4 linked regions of the Arabidopsis thaliana genome follow. The protein of the gene in region 2 interacts with the protein of the main gene of each other region in a pairwise test. Each region holds a gene or a part of one and is shown on either strand. Other genes may lie near its edges.

The links.
Region 1: the proteins of LBD23 (region 2) and ATCTH interact in a two-hybrid assay, tested with the Arabidopsis thaliana proteins (one large-scale study listed by BioGRID).
Region 3: the proteins of LBD23 (region 2) and SAP interact in a two-hybrid assay, tested with the Arabidopsis thaliana proteins (one large-scale study listed by BioGRID).
Region 4: the proteins of LBD23 (region 2) and AT1G51120 interact in a two-hybrid assay, tested with the Arabidopsis thaliana proteins (one large-scale study listed by BioGRID).

The regions. Positions count from the first base shown.
Region 1 is NC_003071.7:11,039,602-11,043,794, forward strand, and holds ATCTH (Zinc finger C-x8-C-x5-C-x3-H type family protein), read left to right. Parts: upstream 1-1,729; 5' UTR 1,730-1,872; intron 1,873-1,964; 5' UTR 1,965-2,215; coding exon 2,216-3,163; 3' UTR 3,164-3,655; downstream 3,656-4,193.
Region 2 is NC_003074.8:9,788,802-9,791,639, forward strand, and holds LBD23 (LOB domain-containing protein 23), read left to right. Parts: upstream 1-1,826; coding exon 1,827-1,979; intron 1,980-2,098; coding exon 2,099-2,311; 3' UTR 2,312-2,316; downstream 2,317-2,838. Other genes in the region: ERF1-3 (eukaryotic release factor 1-3), read left to right, coding at 53-1,360; AT3G26630 (Tetratricopeptide repeat (TPR)-like superfamily protein), read right to left, coding at 2,771-2,838.
Region 3 is NC_003076.8:13,935,524-13,942,621, reverse strand, and holds SAP (Transducin/WD40 repeat-like superfamily protein), read left to right. Parts: upstream 1-1,754; 5' UTR 1,755-1,835; coding exon 1,836-2,042; intron 2,043-5,031; coding exon 5,032-6,165; 3' UTR 6,166-6,536; downstream 6,537-7,098. UniProt on the Arabidopsis thaliana protein: Transcriptional regulator involved in the specification of floral identity. Acts as A class cadastral protein by repressing the C class floral homeotic gene AGAMOUS in the external flower organs in association with APETALA2 and other repressors.
Region 4 is NC_003070.9:18,936,358-18,939,699, forward strand, and holds AT1G51120 (AP2/B3 transcription factor family protein), read left to right. Parts: upstream 1-1,733; coding exon 1,734-2,792; downstream 2,793-3,342. Other genes in the region: AT1G51110 (Plastid-lipid associated protein PAP / fibrillin family protein), read left to right, coding at 1-112, 195-278, 366-458, 546-599, 682-761, 845-952, 1,055-1,127; AT1G51130 (Nse4, component of Smc5/6 DNA repair complex), read right to left, coding at 3,123-3,342.

The sequences.
Region 1 (4,193 bases), on a different chromosome or scaffold from region 2:
TAACGATCATACTTCTTTTTGTCATTATGATAGCTTATGATTAATCATTGTTTATCCATACTTGACGCTTGTAAGTGAAACATATGTTTAAATTTTCAGGCTTAATTTAATAGCCACGAACCAAAAATTATCTTATAATAAAAGTTTGGTGCGATTTAAGAAGATTTGTCCCCAAAGCCCTATCTGAAAGAGGTCAAATTGGATTATTAAATTCAACATATTAATCAATTTGATATTTGTTTAATGGTCTGATTAGTGACAATTATAAGTCTAATATTGCGAATCTTTTGCAGTGAGTATTCCACGTGATATAGATAAGTTTCCCTTAATGGATAACCTTTGCATCAAACAATTAGAAAACAAATGGAAGAGTATCAATCAAGTAGATCTCGAAGCAGTGGACCCTAACACGATACTGGAACATGGACCAAACCTTAAAATATCGTCCAAATTGCTTATTTTCTGGAAGGTTACAAGTGCACAACACTCTAATAATATATGCCCCGCATAACAATTTTTAAAACTATTTCATCTTAGACCTCGGATATTTTGAAGGAAGCACATTTTCTTGAAAATCACTAGGTGACTTGTGTTTCTTTCTTTGGAGCATGTCAATTTACTCCCATCAGCTGGAGAGCCAAAAGTTAAAATTAATGTTCGAAATTTATTTCATAAAAGCTACGTACGTTGCATCCTTCCATGATCTAGAAAAAATGGGGGACAATAACCAAATTTATTCACTCTTGTCAGGTCATGGGGAGTAGTCTACGACCTTGAAAGTCACGTGACAAGTAATATATACTGTACCGTCCAAATATTTTCTTACTGTAATGTCTTATGTTTCATATCGCTAGACCCTTAATATTAGTGTGGACTAATTCATATAATTGCAAATAAAATAGTATGATTCTACGATTCTTCAAAATGATCTAATAGTTACAGTCTGGTCAAAATGATCTAAATCTTTATAAACAAATAACAGCTACGGAATAATTAACACAATTTTTGGTGATAAACTTTGAGTTATGATAGAAATTTTTTTTTTTTCAATTTTTAATGTGTATCTTAATTTCTTCAATTAATGTATCCCTATGTTTTATGTGACTATATAACTTTTGGTTAGTGATACTCCAAAAATGTTGTTTTAGGTTTTGACACACATATTAATAATTTGTTTTATTTTTTACTTTACAAAATTTCTTATTGGTTAAAACATAAATCACTGCAAATAAAACTTTAATTTTGTTTGTAGTCAAAATTAGCTTTTAAAAATGTAAATTGATATTTATTCTAATTATTTTTTTAATGTTCTGACAATTAATTTAAAACGGAAAGCGTAATAAAGTAGATGTTGGGGCTGATTGGTAACGGCTGTTACTTTTGAACTCTAAATATTTCGGATGTTACGACTTTGACTGTAAAAATTTTGGTTGTAAAAATTTTGACGATAGAAACTTTAACTGTTAAAGTCTGATTGGTACAAAAAAATCACAATTATTTTTATTATTATTTAATATTTTTTATAAATATTATTTATGCTAAAAAATCAATTTATTTGGTAAAATAGTAACTAAAATAAATTTATTTTAAAAAAATACAAAATTCATTTTACAAATTCACTATTTTAAATATTTAAATTGGATCTGAAAAGAACAGAAAAAATAAAATTCGAATTAATCAATCGATTTTTTAATGATAAAATATAAATAAATTTGAAAAGAGTTTTGAAATTTTATGGATAAAGAAAAAATATTTTTATTTTGTTTTATTATTCTCTTTTAAAGTTAAAGACTTTAGGAAAAAAACAAAAGAAAAAAAGTAAATGGAGAGAAAAAAGCTTTTAAAACTTTAAAAATTAATAAAGTTTTAAAAGTGTGATTGATTAAAAAATAAATTTGAAAATTTTTAAATATTTTTAAAGCTTTGAAAACATTTTTTTTTTTTTTGGGGGGACAAATATGAAGAAAAAAAAAAAAAAAAAAAGACGAACATGAAGGGGAAAAAAACAAAAGACGAACAAAAATTGGAGATTTTTTCTTACACGTGTCATCATCTGCAGATTTGCGCTTATTAATTGTTTACCGTACGGTATTGTGGATAGGGTCAAGATTTTCATAACTTTACCGTAGTTAATATTTGACCCAACCATGGTTAAAATAAAGCAGTTTATATCACAGACACACACCTCTCTCTCTTCTAGACTCACTAAACAAAAATGATGATCGGCGAAAATAAAAACCGGCCACATCCAACGATCCATATCCCTCAATGGGATCAAATCAACGATCCAACGGCCACAATCTCTTCACCATTCTCTTCCGTCAACCTTAACAGCGTTAACGACTACCCACACTCTCCGTCACCGTATCTCGACTCCTTCGCTTCTCTCTTCCGTTACCTCCCGTCAAACGAGTTAACAAACGATTCAGACTCATCAAGTGGCGACGAGTCATCACCACTCACCGACTCATTCTCCTCCGACGAGTTTCGCATCTACGAGTTCAAAATCCGGCGATGCGCTCGAGGTCGATCTCATGATTGGACGGAGTGTCCGTTCGCACATCCCGGAGAAAAAGCTCGACGACGTGATCCGAGAAAGTTTCATTACTCCGGCACCGCTTGTCCTGAGTTTCGTAAAGGAAGTTGTAGAAGAGGTGATTCGTGTGAGTTCTCTCATGGAGTTTTCGAGTGTTGGCTCCATCCTTCTCGTTACCGTACTCAGCCGTGTAAAGACGGAACTAGCTGCCGGAGAAGAATCTGTTTCTTCGCTCATACGACGGAGCAGTTACGTGTATTACCTTGTTCGTTAGATCCAGATCTTGGATTCTTCTCAGGATTAGCTACTTCTCCGACTTCGATTCTTGTTTCTCCTTCGTTTTCACCACCGTCGGAATCTCCGCCGCTTTCTCCGAGTACCGGTGAACTTATTGCGTCGATGAGGAAAATGCAATTGAACGGAGGTGGTTGTTCGTGGAGTTCTCCGATGAGATCTGCAGTTAGGTTACCTTTTTCGTCGTCTCTGCGTCCGATTCAGGCGGCAACGTGGCCGAGGATAAGAGAGTTTGAGATCGAAGAAGCTCCGGCGATGGAATTTGTGGAATCTGGGAAAGAGCTGAGAGCGGAGATGTATGCAAGACTCAGTAGAGAGAACTCACTCGGTTGAGTCGACTTGGATCGAGTCTTTGATGACGTGGCGACTCGATCTGATTTTGTGAATATTTTAGAGATTTTTAAGGTGTTGTGGATAAATGACGTGGCGGGTCGATCTTAGTGACGGTACAATCGGACGATGAAGAAAAAAGCGTTAAGAGTAACAAAAAAAGGAAGAATTTGTAAAGAGATGATAATGAGAGAATTTGAGAGCTATTCTTCTGGCTTTTTTCTCTGCAGTTTTTTTTATTGTTTTCGTTATTTTCTTGTTTTTATTTTGGTTTTCGGCTTTATTTTGTTTGTTGTTTATTAATGTTATATCATTTTGTAATTAGTTCTCAAATGTATTTGGATAACATCTTAGTTTGAGACTTTAGAAAAGAACATTTCATTTGTTGTTTCCTTCTTATCGATTTCGTTGTTATAATAGTAAGAGGATATAAATATTTTTTGTTGGCCTGTTCTTTTTCCAAACGCTGCGATCATATCCAGCGACCAAAAAAACAGTTGCTTAACACACAATTACGTTGAAGTCTGTAGAAAGTTATGTGAAGAGGAGTCGCTCGATTTTAAAAACAGCGACCTATAAGGCATATACACGTGTCGCCAAAAAATAACAGCAACTTAACATTTTCACTAAGGACGCCGCCGGCGTCCATATTGAACGACTGTTTTTGTATCTCCGTTATAATTTTTGCTTTTCGTCGGAGTCCCTATTGCTGTCACAGCGATTAATAAACGAACAAGCCCAACAATTAATCAGAGAAAATAGTCTCGAGAAAATAACTCTCTTGCATCATATCTCTAATGAACATCAAATCTGCCTACAAATTCTATTTTTAAGTAAACATATTCCTTTTGACAAAAAAAAAAAACTATTTGGCTATTTCCAATGGTAGACTAGATCCACTCTGAAAATAGACTAATGACTAATGAATACTCATAATTTGGATAAAATTTTCATTTTCAGAATGATTTTCAAATTTAAATATGTTTTCAGTAATACACGAACAAATCTATATGTTTTAGGTATACATTGGGCA
Region 2 (2,838 bases):
TGTTTTAGATTTTGAGCTGCGTGCTCTGTTTTAAGCTTGAAGGAGGAAAAACATGGCAGACCAAGAATCAGATAAGAACATTGAGATTTGGAAGATTAAGAAGCTAATCAAAGGACTTGAAACCGCAAGAGGTAATGGAACAAGTATGATCTCTCTTATAATGCCTCCTAGAGATCAAGTAGCTCGTGTCACTAAGATGCTTGCTGATGAATACGGAACCGCCTCAAACATCAAGAGTCGAGTGAATCGTCAATCTGTTTTATCTGCCATTACTTCTGCTCAACAAAGATTGAAGCTTTACAACAAAGTTCCTCCGAATGGTCTTGTTCTCTATACTGGAACCATTGTTACTGATGATGGTAAAGAGAAGAAAGTGACGATTGATTTCGAGCCTTTTAAACCGATTAATGCTTCGTTGTATTTGTGTGACAATAAGTTCCACACCGAGCCTTTGAATGAGCTTTTGGAGTCTGATGATAAGTTTGGTTTCATTGTTATGGATGGAAATGGAACTTTGTTTGGTACTTTGAGTGGGAATACAAGAGAGGTTCTTCATAAGTTCACTGTCGATCTTCCGAAAAAGCACGGAAGAGGAGGACAATCTGCGTTGCGATTTGCTCGTCTTAGGATGGAGAAGAGACATAACTATGTGAGGAAAACCGCGGAGCTTGCCACTCAGTTTTACATTAATCCAGCTACGAGTCAGCCTAATGTCTCTGGTCTTATACTTGCTGGTTCAGCGGATTTTAAGACCGAGCTAAGTCAATCAGAACTGTTTGATCCTCGTCTTCAAGCTAAGATATTGAATGTGGTTGATGTTTCTTACGGAGGAGAGAATGGTTTCAACCAAGCAATTGAGCTGTCTGCTGAGATTCTATCTAATGTGAAGTTCATACAAGAAAAGAAATTGATTGGGAAGTACTTTGAGGAGATTAGTCAAGACACTGGGAAATATGTTTTCGGTGTTGAAGATACTTTAAAGGCTCTGGAAATGGGTGCTGTTGAGACTCTTATAGTGTGGGAGAATCTAGATATTAATAGGTATGAGTTAAAGAACAACACGACCGGAGAAATCGTGATTAAGCATTTGGGAAAGGATCAAGAGAACAACCAAAGCAATTTCCATGATGCAGAGACTAATGCAGAGTTAGAAGTTCAGGAGAAGATGCCTCTGCTTGAATGGTTTGCTAACGAATATAAACGTTTTGGTTGTACACTTGAGTTTGTGACTAACAAGTCCCAAGAAGGATCACAATTTTGCAGAGGCTTTGGCGGTATTGGTGGATTGTTGCGGTACCAGCTTGATATGAGGACATTCGATGAATTATCCGATGGTGAAGTTTATGAAGACTCAGATTAAGTAAGAGAAAATGTGGTTTAAGATCTGAAGAAGGATTTGAAGTTTGGGGAAAAAAAGAAAGACTATGAACTTTTGTTTGATATACTTTGTCTCTCTCTATTATCTTCTGTTGCCGCTTTTAAGTTTTTCTGAAACAGTTATGTTAAAATGTATGAGAAATTTGAGCTTCATTATACTCTATTTTGAAGACATTTCTTATTGCCTATTTGAGAATTAGCTAAACATTAATATTGCCTTAACAGTAATGTTAACGGTAATATAAAGTCTAATTAGTCTAAGTGAGAATCAACATAAATAGTCTTACCTTAAGTAAATGTTCTCAAATTTCAGAAACTGGAAACTAGCCGTTTGATTATTGGAAAAGAAAGGAAACGAAAAGGAATACAAATAGCTAAATCTTTGTGTAAGATTTCACAATCTCTTCTTTTGTGTTATTTGTTTATATTTGTGTCTGAGAAAATCTGAGATGAATCCAAAAAGATGTGCAGCTTGCAAGTATCTGAGAAGAAGATGTCCAAAAGATTGCGTATTCTCACCATATTTCCCTCCAAACGATCCTCAAAAATTTGCATGTGTCCACAGAATCTATGGTGCTGGAAACGTTTCCAAAATGCTTCAGGTATATATATCTATACACATCTTTGTGTATCTTCTTCTAATATCCTATTTAAGATCACACTTTATGCATATATATAAGTAAGTGTATTCATGGTTGGATTTTGGTGATCTTTTTGACAGCAACTTCCTGATCAGACAAGAGCTGAAGCAGTGGAATCTTTGTGCTTTGAAGCAAAATGCAGAGTAGATGATCCTGTTTATGGTTGTGTTGGCATTATTCATTTACTTAAAACTCAGATTCAGAAAACTCAGAATGAATTAGCCAAAACTCAAGCTGAGATTGCTGTTGCTCAAACCAAACTTAGCCAAACCCATATTTCTGATTTTATGTAATATCTCTCAGTTTCAACAATAAATTCTCCTCTGCATTTTCGTTTCCGATTGCTTCTACTTATAAGATAGTGATCTTCTTTAACTTTAACTATATCAGACTCATAATCAAGAGGCCATTAGCTATACTAAAAAAGTGTTTCATAAAACACAAATGTAAACAAGTTCGAATCGAGTTTATTATTATCACAAATCCATAACTAAAGGGTGACAATTATACAGTCTTGAGTCTCTTGGCCGATATTTTGAGAATCATAATGTAAAAAGATAAATGAATCTGTTTACAAAATACATGACACTATTACAAATCGAATTTACTATTTTCCCTGCTTAAGCTCCCATTCCTTTTACAAGTACATGACATTACACTACTTTTGAAGGAGCTTTTCTTGTATAGTTACAAAGATGATCAATGAATCTGTTTAATAGACGAAAATATATATGTCAAGAGACACTGAACCTTCAAAATCGGCCTGTATCCCACTTGGTGAACATAATTTGATGTTGGCTCGGAGTTTCGTTCGTTTCAT
Region 3 (7,098 bases), on a different chromosome or scaffold from region 2:
TTATTCTCTAGATTAGACTCTCCTTCTGCGTAAATTCTTAGAGGGTAATCCTTTGCTTGTTCTTCAGAAATAACCTTAGCCATCTAATAAACCATAAATCAGCCATAACCATACATTAACTCAGCCACAACATAAAACAAATTTAGCCACAGATGCATTGATAAATCATAACTCAGTCAAACATACAATAACTCATCCACAACATAAAACAAACCTAGCCACATATGCATTGATAAATCATAAATCAGTCATAAAACATACAGTAACCAAGCCACAACACAAAACAAACTCAACCACATATGCATTAATAAATCATAAATCAGTCCTAAAGCATACAATAACTCAGCCATCAAATCGAATAGAAATAACAAATCAGCCACCATATGTAAATCGACGGCAAAAATCAGCCGTAATAAGCGTCGATAAAAACCATCAATATCATAACAGTGGTTTTAGAAAATGGTTTTAATCATGGGAATCACTTGCTATTGAACTTAGATGTCTGATTATTGTCGGAAAAATCGAAATAAAGATTTGACACATATCGAAACAAGTTGAGTTGAGACGAAATGTGACTCGATGACAACGACGTTAAAAGTTTCGGGCGGAAGAGACGAGAGAAAGAGAGAATAGCCACGAGAAATAGGTTTTCTTCGTTTTCGGATAAACACCTAGTAAAAGAGAAGACATTTTTTTTTCCCAAGATGAACAATGTCTGGGAGGAAAACCAAAATGTTCCTCTTAGTGACGTTAATAATGTGGCTTTATTTTTTTTTCTCTCTTAATAACGTGATTCATCATTATTTCGTTAATTATTTTTAATTAAAAAAGAATAAAAATGTTTTAACTAAAAAATACTAATCAAAAATGTTAATTGTAATTATATAAAAGCACTATATATATGAATAATTTTCAGAAAATGTAAATATTTCTATATTTAGATTGAGGAATAAACTTAAAAGCATCGCATGCTCATGTGTTGGTTTGTGATGAGTTTGGACTAAAGTTCACGATGAACCGTGGTTTTGAGGATCGTGATAGCTGCAATATGAGAAAAAGTAGGGTTAAGTTTTGTGATGACAGAATATGGCGAATTCTAGGTTTGAGGATTGTAATGATAAGAATATGCTTAACCAGATTTCCAAAAATTATTTACTTATAATGACAATAGTATGTTGGGAAAAAAAAATATGTTAAACTATGCTTTAAAAGTTTTTACTACTGGTATGAAAGTCGAGATTTGGTGCTACGAGTTTGATCTCTCTGACAAATTTTTTGCGTATACATATTATTTTATTTCTCATTTTTAAAATGGATCGATCTACAAATATTTGTGTTTAGCCAATAGTTTACCATATACAAAAAATTTACTAATGTTCGCGGAAGGAAATAAACTTAGCAAATATATTGTTGAATTCTTAATGATATATAACACTATTTTAAATATAAAAAATCGTCAAAATATAAATCTAGTGATTTATAATAATATAGCTGTTATATTGCCATTATAATTCAAAATCTGCATATCAAAAGAAAGAAATTTTGAAATATGTCACCATACTGAACCAATACTTTTCCTAAAAAATATAAAATTGAAGCTATTTCACAAACAAATCTGCATCTATTAAGAATAAACAAAAACAAATAATAACAAATCTTGACAAAAGAAAATAAAAATAGGAAAAAAACATACCTTCACAACCTGGGTCCCCCACCTCGGAGAAGTATGTCTTTATCTACACTTTTTGTCCTTTGTTTCCTCTCTCCCCCACCATTCTTTCTCCTCTCTCCGCTTCTTCTTCTTCCCCTGTTCCTCTTATAACCCCTCTCGTCTCATGTCTACCTCCTCCTCTTCTTCCGACAACGGAGCCGGTGGAAGCGGCGGCGTTTTCGAGGCCCCATCTCCATCCCGCCCTCGCCGCGGAGCCAACGATGTTTGGCCGGAGCCTTTTCTTGAATCTCTCGCCGTTCAAGTTGCCGTTAACGCTTCCACATCCGCCGGCCTCCTCGCCGCAGCTCCGGCTCTTGCCAACGTTTTTCGGGTCAGTTCTAACGTTCTTTGAATACCTTCTTTTAGTTTTGTAACGGTCGAGACACATCAATTATCTCGTGTCTCTCTATATATATATGTACTTCAGGTAGTAAAGTAATATTTTCGTTACACTATCTGAATTCGTTTATTAGCTTATATTTGAACTTGAAAATAGTGAGACATAGATCTTATGCAGACAAAACAAAGTCAAAGTAGTCGTGGGTCTATAATAACTTAAGTGGAGGGACACAATCTTGGTCTAGTCAAATGTACTGCTTGTTTCAAGTGTCTTGTACTTTAGTTGTTTCTAAGCTTAGATTTGATTCTGCCGTTCTAATTCTTTTTGGTATAACGAATTCTTACTCTTTAGATCATAATTAAGTGATGATGTTACTTCAATTCGATTGAATGTGATATTAGTTTGTAAGGTTGGGATTCTGAAGAGACAAAAAAAAAAAAAAACTGACCTTTGGAAAGGTAACCGCCCTTTCTGTGTTTCTATGATGGGTCCAAGTCCAACTTTTATGTCTAACAAGACGACATTAATTTGATGTCTCTTTCACATATCATATAGTTTGGGGACTTTGTTTTTCTTTTATGTATTTAGAAACTTTTTGTCTTCCATTTTTACCCAATAAGTTTATTTCTTTTTCATTGTTCTCTCGTCTACTTTTGATACCTTTTAATGTCTATTTTTGGATCCTCTAAGGAGACCATACAACCCCATCTCGTTTGTGTAATCTTTGTACAACATTTGGGCATAGTAACTCTAATATTAATATTATATTATGAATTGGATCCCTTAGGGCACAAAATCAAGGTTTTATTTTATTTTATTGGCTTTAAATCTTCCTTTCTTGGCATGTAGAAAGCCCTTTTTTAAGATCAAGAAATCCACTTTTTGACTCAAAAGTTCTTACAATAATAATCAAATTAAACACTTTCTTGTCTCCAAATATTGGTTGATAGACATTAGGCACAGTCTTTAGTCCAATGCCCAATAGATTTAATATTTTTTAGAATTATAATTATAACGGTATTTATCTGCTAATTGTTTTAAAATTATAATAATAGAAAGTGACCTCTCACGACAGACTCATAAAACTAGAAAATGTCGTTGCACATTTAACAACATCTAAAAAGAGAATGAAAAGAAACCTAAGTAAGGTCCTGTCTTTTTGCCTTGCCAATGTTAGTCCTATATTACCACATTAGGTTATTTTCTACATACATGAAAACTCTATTCATCAACAGATATATGATCCATGTATTATATCAGGCATTCATATTATTCTTTTTAATAATCCTATGTTATATATGAAAATAGCTGTTTTTTCTTTTGTTCATAAAAAAACAAATAATACATATATATATTATGCTGAAGATTTTTCTCATATATAGTAACGAGGAATAGTATATAAGTACATATGTACATTTTTTGCGTCCTGCTTTTGTTATTTTTTTCTCTGCCAATATTATGATCCACTGAGTAATGCATGCAGAGCTTCTGACAACTTCTCATTCTCTTATTTTATCTCACTTCTCTATGTATACATGATAATTCTAAATCATTATTAAATCCCATAATATTTTCTAATTAATTGAATTTTCAAATTTGCCCTAAAATTTTAAGAAACTGCAGTGTAGTTACAGCATAACACTTTTGTCAGAGAATTAAGGCTATAAGTCTAGAGTTTTCATTGTTGTTTTTTACTTTGAAATTGATCATGGAATTATCTTTTTTCCTGACTCGATTCATCTTTTCCATTGAAGTGGGTTTTTATCTTTTTTTTTTCTTTCCTTAATTTTTTTCAGTCAAAAGAGACGACATTATGGGCATACATATGCCGAAAAGCACATGGAACCCAATGTTAAGGGTCTCTTAGAGCACGTGCAGTGGTGTCTATAGATTATATACTATGTTCTTACATTTGATATATCACACATTAAAATACAAAAGTGATATTCTGAATCTGGTCATCTTAGAACTCAGGAATATTTGAACTACTTTCTTTCCCTTCTTATTTGAAGTATATCATATTGATGTGATTGGTAATTTGCATAATAATAAATAGGATTTGCCATTCCATCATATGTTATTTGTTGTACTAATCTATTTTATGTTACATTTCGTGCCCTAGTGCCTAGATTATTCTTTTTTTATAATGATTATCTGACTAATAGACATTAAACCTTTGGTTTGACAAGATATCTTTTCTTTTCGTATAGAATTCGAAATATTTGATTTTAGGTTGTACTATAGAGCTAGAGTACGAAGTCAAATACATTACTTTGCGTTTAATGAGGAATAAAGATGTACAATAAATAACAATATAAACGTAAATGTAGAGAATGTAGGTCCACGGATTGTTGGAGAGGGATGAGAGAGACAGAGAAACATCTACTATATATAAGTGTAATATTTGTGTATTTATGGGAAGCTCTACTTTTAACAAGACCAAAGGCTTAAAAGCTATCCTTTCTTGGAAATGAAAGAGAGAAGGGCACGCTTGTTGGCAAAGTCGGAATCTCATGTTCAGCTTAACTCATTTAAAGTCTTCTCATCTGTCCTAATAAATTAACATATCATCTGTTTTGTATTATTGTCACATTGATTTGTTTTTTGTTCTTTTGACATGGGACTAGGGCTTCCTCTCATTATTCCTTTTACACTAGGGCTTCTGTTGTTATATCTCTATCTATAGCTTCCAGAGATTGATTAGTCCCGTCAATTGAACATATGTCATAAAATAGATTTTTATAAAAATGAGTTGTGTGTTTCGATGAGTAAGACAAATATTACGCAGAGCTTGTGTCTGAGTCTGTCGTTGTCTTTCCATCTTCCTAGTCCCTATATATAGAGTCTTTCATGCTTCGTTGCAGGCCTACTTATCTTCTTTCTATGTCTTTTTTTACTCTCTCCCTTATTTATACATTTATTAATTAAGCTACTAATTATAATATTTGTTAAAACTTATAATAATTTTTCTTAATCGCAGGTTTGCACCACGTGGCACGCTGTCTCTCGCTCCGACCATCTATGGCAACTACTATCTCGCCAAGTTTGGGCAAGAACACATTTGATGCACGACACGTGGCGGGACGAGTTCATCTACCGTCATCGGACGGCTAGAAACTTCCGGACGCGTACTCACACCTACTTCACTCTCCAATTTGACCCGTCTGATGTGGACGAGCCTGATAGTCTCTCTTGCCGTTGTCTCACCCTCTCAGACCTCTACTTAGCCGCAGGGTTCGCCGACGGAACCGTCCGGCTTTTTCTTTTAAACAACCGACTCCACGTCAGGACCTTACGGCCACCTCTACGTGACCGCTTTGGTAGATTCTCACGAGCCGTCTCAGGCATTGTTATCTCCGACTCAAGGCTCACGTTCGCTACGATGGACGGAGACATCCACGTGGCGGAAATAGACGGTGTTGGTCACACACGCACGGCTTACGCAGGAGATATAGTTAACGACGGTGCGTTGGTAGATTTCACTGGCTGTGGACGTTGGTGGGTCGGTCTTTTCGCGGGTGTGCCAGGTCGTGCCTTTCACATATGGGACTGTAACAGCGAAGAGACAACATTCGTCGGTGGTACACTCACCGACCCTGAAGCTGTCATGGGATGGCACACGTTAACAGAGCTAACAACGTCCCTTGGCCGTCTCAGAATCTCCGGTAACGAGACGGCGGTAGCATGCACGAGATGGAGAATCATGGTGATCGATCTAAGAAACCAAGGAGTGATCATCGGAGAAGACGAAGAGCAACGTAGAGGACTAATAGTGACAGGCTTCGATGCCAACGACGAAGCGTACGTTAGATTGGACAGTAGAGGAAACGCTAGCGTGCGAAGGGTGAACACGCAACAAACGGTGTGTGAGTTCCGTGTTAGTGGAGCGGCGCAGAGAAGAGTAATGGGTTGTGTTAATAGACTGCACGCGCTAATGTGCGCAGGTGGTATAATGCGCGTGTGGGAGGTAGAGAGAGGAGAGTATCTGTACAGTATTAGGGAGAGAGTAGGAGAAGTTGACGCCATTGTTGCCGATGATAGACATGTGGCGGTTGCGTCAGCTTCATCAACGGCTCAGAGTATTATACATCTATGGGATTTCGGTGCACTGTAGCGTACCAGATTAATAATTTTTTTTTTTTAACTTGAAGAAAAAGAAACTATTTTTCTCTGAAAAAGCGAAACCCTAAACCTAGGTGTATATGTAGGGTTTCTGATTATAAATTAAATTGGGAAAGTGACGGAGGGAAGATGGTGACAGGAGGGTGAGATTTACAAGGGAGATTGATTCTTTCTACAGAGTTTGACCAAAAAAGTAAGTTACTGTTTTTGTCTAAAACCAAACAAAGTGGACTTTTTCTTGTTGTTCTTGTTTTTTTCCTTGTGTTTAGGGCTCTCTCAATTCTGACTTTGTACGAGATGTCTTTTTTTTTTCTTCTACTTGTAATTCTTCACTTTACTGGAGTTTATTATTTTGTATAATGGGTTTTAAATACATTTTGTGTAAAAAATATATTTTACAGGAGGTGTAGACAGAAACAAGATCAAAATCGAAAGAATGGTATAGAAATATGAATCATGAGATCTAGATGTGATTTGAGCATATCCCAATTTTAGGATATATTGGAGTGAATTGATAAGTAAAATGTTCAACAAGTTATTCATAAACAATAACATAAGAAAAGAGCATAATTGGACACACCCAATATACAAACAAAACGGCTAATCTCATTGAACAAACAAGATGATAAAGAGTGAAAATCAAAATTTTCCAAGTTTGAAATAGCGTTAGAAGCAAGTTCGAGAAGACCAAACACACGCCAATTCAAGAAAAAGTTGCACTCTACATAAAATTTGAGATGGTAACCATATATTGTGACTTTAAATCATAGTTCAAAACTTGGATTCTCACAAGAATGAGTCACGTTGTACCTACCGGTCCCTAAAAAACCATCACATAAGAACACAAACAGTTAGGATCTAAAACATGTTATTTAGAAACGAATTCGTAAGGACAGTTCTCAAAGAGAGGGAAATATCAATTTGA
Region 4 (3,342 bases), on a different chromosome or scaffold from region 2:
CAAAGTTCCATATCCAGTTCCTTTTAGACTTCTTGGTGATGAAGCAAAAGGTTGGCTAGATACTACTTATTTGTCGCCTTCAGGTAACCTTAGGATTTCTAGGGGAAACAAGGTAAATGAGTTTCTTGATTCTCAAAAAGAAAATTAAAGCTTTATAGCATTTTTATCCATGAGGCTGTATATTTGTAGCGCAGGGAACAACGTTTGTTCTTCAGAAAGAAACCGTGCCTAGGCAGAAATTGTTAGCCACCATATCTCAAGACAAAGGAGTAGCTGAGGTAATGTGTCATGCCTTCAAGAAATCTGAAAACAATCGATAGTTTCGGTTTGAAATGGAACCAATGGATCGTTTAGTATAAACACAGGCTATCGATGAGTTTCTTGCGTCTAATTCTAATTCCGCGGAAGATAATTATGAGCTTTTAGAAGGAAGTTGGCAAATGATTTGGAGTTCACAGGTCACTTCTCTGATAACTTTAGCTTTTGTCTTGAACAAGCACTTATATTCGTTTGGATAAGCGATTTTTCGGGTTTTGTGTTTGCAGATGTATACAGATAGTTGGATTGAAAATGCAGCAAATGGTCTTATGGGAAGACAGGTAAACATTTTATTAGAATGTCTTAGGTAGTCTATTGTTGCTTCAGCTGGCTTCGTTTAGCGAAATCGAGTATCTTATTCAGATCATTGAGAAGGATGGGAGGATAAAGTTTGAAGTTAACATCATTCCGGCATTTAGATTCTCCATGAAAGGCAAATTCATGTAAGTCTCTGTCTTTTAGATTAGTCATTTTGCTAACTTTTTTGTGATCTTGTTTCTTGACTGGTCTCATGAATGATTTGCAGAAAATCAGAAAGCAGTACATATGACTTGAAGATGGACGACGCAGCAATTATAGGCGGTGCATTTGGATATCCGGTCGATATAACAAACAATATCGAGCTAAAAATTCTGTAAGATCTCTCTATCTTCTTCTTCTACTACTTTCACAAATCACAACATATAATAATGCATTTGAATTGCTAATACAGAGATGCTTACTTTAATGTTTGTAGGTACACAGATGAGAAGATGAGGATAAGCCGAGGATTCGATAACATTATCTTTGTGCACATCCGAGAAATTTAGCTGCATTGTTCTATCAGAACCTCTTATTTGAACATATGAAAAAAAATAGTATGTAAGAAACTGTCAAATGTTTTACAACAATGGAAGGTGATAGTTTAAATTTTCTCTGTTCATTAGTTTTTTTGGATGTAACAGGAACCAGAAAAAACAAGAAACCACATGATATAATTTTCGCTACTAATGTCTAAATTAAGACAAAATTAACATTAAGAAAACTTTACTTTTTGTCTTAATCTTAAACAAATTCACTGAATATTTCTTTCTACAAAGAAAATACGAATATCTCACTAACAAAGGAAACTTACCACTAACAGCTTCTGGTGGCATTAATTACTCTGTAAATTGCCATTTTTTCACCGAGAGAAAACTAGAAAAACAAAACAAAACATGGAAACTGTAACATTCTAAAAGATTCATTGTTAACAAAACCAACAGAGAAACATAATACTGATTTTCCAGGATTTACTCCCTCAAATCTCTCCTTCAAATACTCTTCCTAATCTCTTCTGTTTTCATTTTGCTTGTTCCCTGCGAACATCTCTCTCTCTTCCTCTGTTTCTTGTTTTTTTGTCCTTTTCTTGATTTTTGTATTTTTTTGTTATGGATATGGACGAGATGAGCAATGTAGCCAAGACAACGACAGAGACTTCAGGCTTAACTGACTCTGTCTTGAGCCTCACGAAACGCATGAAACCTACTGAGGTTACGACCACCACAAAACCTGCCTTGTCCAACACGACGAAATTCAAAGGAGTTGTTCAGCAACAGAACGGTCATTGGGGTGCTCAGATTTACGCAGACCATCGAAGGATTTGGCTTGGAACTTTCAAATCCGCTCATGAAGCCGCTGCTGCTTACGATAGCGCATCGATTAAGCTTCGAAGCTTTGATGCTAACTCGCACCGGAACTTCCCTTGGTCTGATTTTACCCTCCATGAACCGGACTTTCAAGAGTGCTACACGACAGAAGCTGTGTTGAACATGATCAGAGACGGTTCTTATCAACACAAGTTCAGAGATTTTCTCAGAATCCGGTCTCAGATTGTTGCGAATATCAACATCGTGGGATCAAAACAAGTCTTAGGAGGAGGAGAAGGTGGTCAAGAATCGAACAAGTGTTTCTCGTGCACGCAGCTTTTTCAGAAAGAACTGACACCGAGCGATGTAGGGAAACTGAATAGGCTTGTGATACCTAAGAAGTATGCAGTGAAGTATATGCCTTTCATAAGCGATGATCAAAGCGAGAAAGAGACGAGTGAAGGAGTAGAAGATGTGGAGGTTGTCTTTTACGACAGAGCAATGAGACAATGGAAGTTTAGGTATTGTTACTGGAGAAGTAGCCAGAGCTTTGTCTTCACCAGAGGATGGAATGGTTTCGTGAAGGAGAAGAATCTCAAGGAGAAAGATATTATTGTCTTTTACACTTGCGATGTCCCCAACAATGTGAAGACATTAGAAGGCCAAAGCAAGACCTTCTTGATGATTGATGTTCATCACTTTTCAGGCAACGGTTTCGTGGTTCCCGAGGAAGTAAACAAGACGGTTCATGAGATTTCTGATGAAGAGATGAAAACAGAAACCCTCTTTACCTCGAAGGTAGAAGAAGAAACCAAATCAGAGGAGAAGAAAGGAGGGTTTATGCTGTTTGGTGTTAGGATCCAATAGCTAGCTACTTGGTTCTTAGGTTTTTTATATTATAACTTAATTAGAGTATGGTTTTTATTTGCTTTTGTATTACATAGTTTTTTTATTTACAAACTCGATGCTTCGATTTTGATATCTAACATTAATTAGATAAATTGTCTCTCTTGAGTAGATCAAAAAAAAAAGAAGAAGAAAAACCAAAAGAGGCTTTAAATTCTTCTTCTTTTAAGAGTTAAGACAAAAGCCACTTAACTGCTACAAACTACAACGAACTAAACAATCCTAACAAAGACATTTAGTTAATGTCACAAAATGAAATAGATACAACTCACTTCTCTCTCTATACACTCCTTAAGAAGAGGTGAGTCTCCGCTTACATCTCCTTCGAGTCCCATCGCCCTCTTTGTCAGGAGTATCTTCTACAACAGTTTCTTCTTGTACAACCAACCCTCGGTTTCTCGATAGTTTTCTTATTGGTGTTGTCTGAGTATCTTGTGTGAAGTCTGCTGATGCAGGGGCTGATGCAGCGGGACAAGAAGATGAAGCAACTGCAGTTTGTCTGTGTGGCATT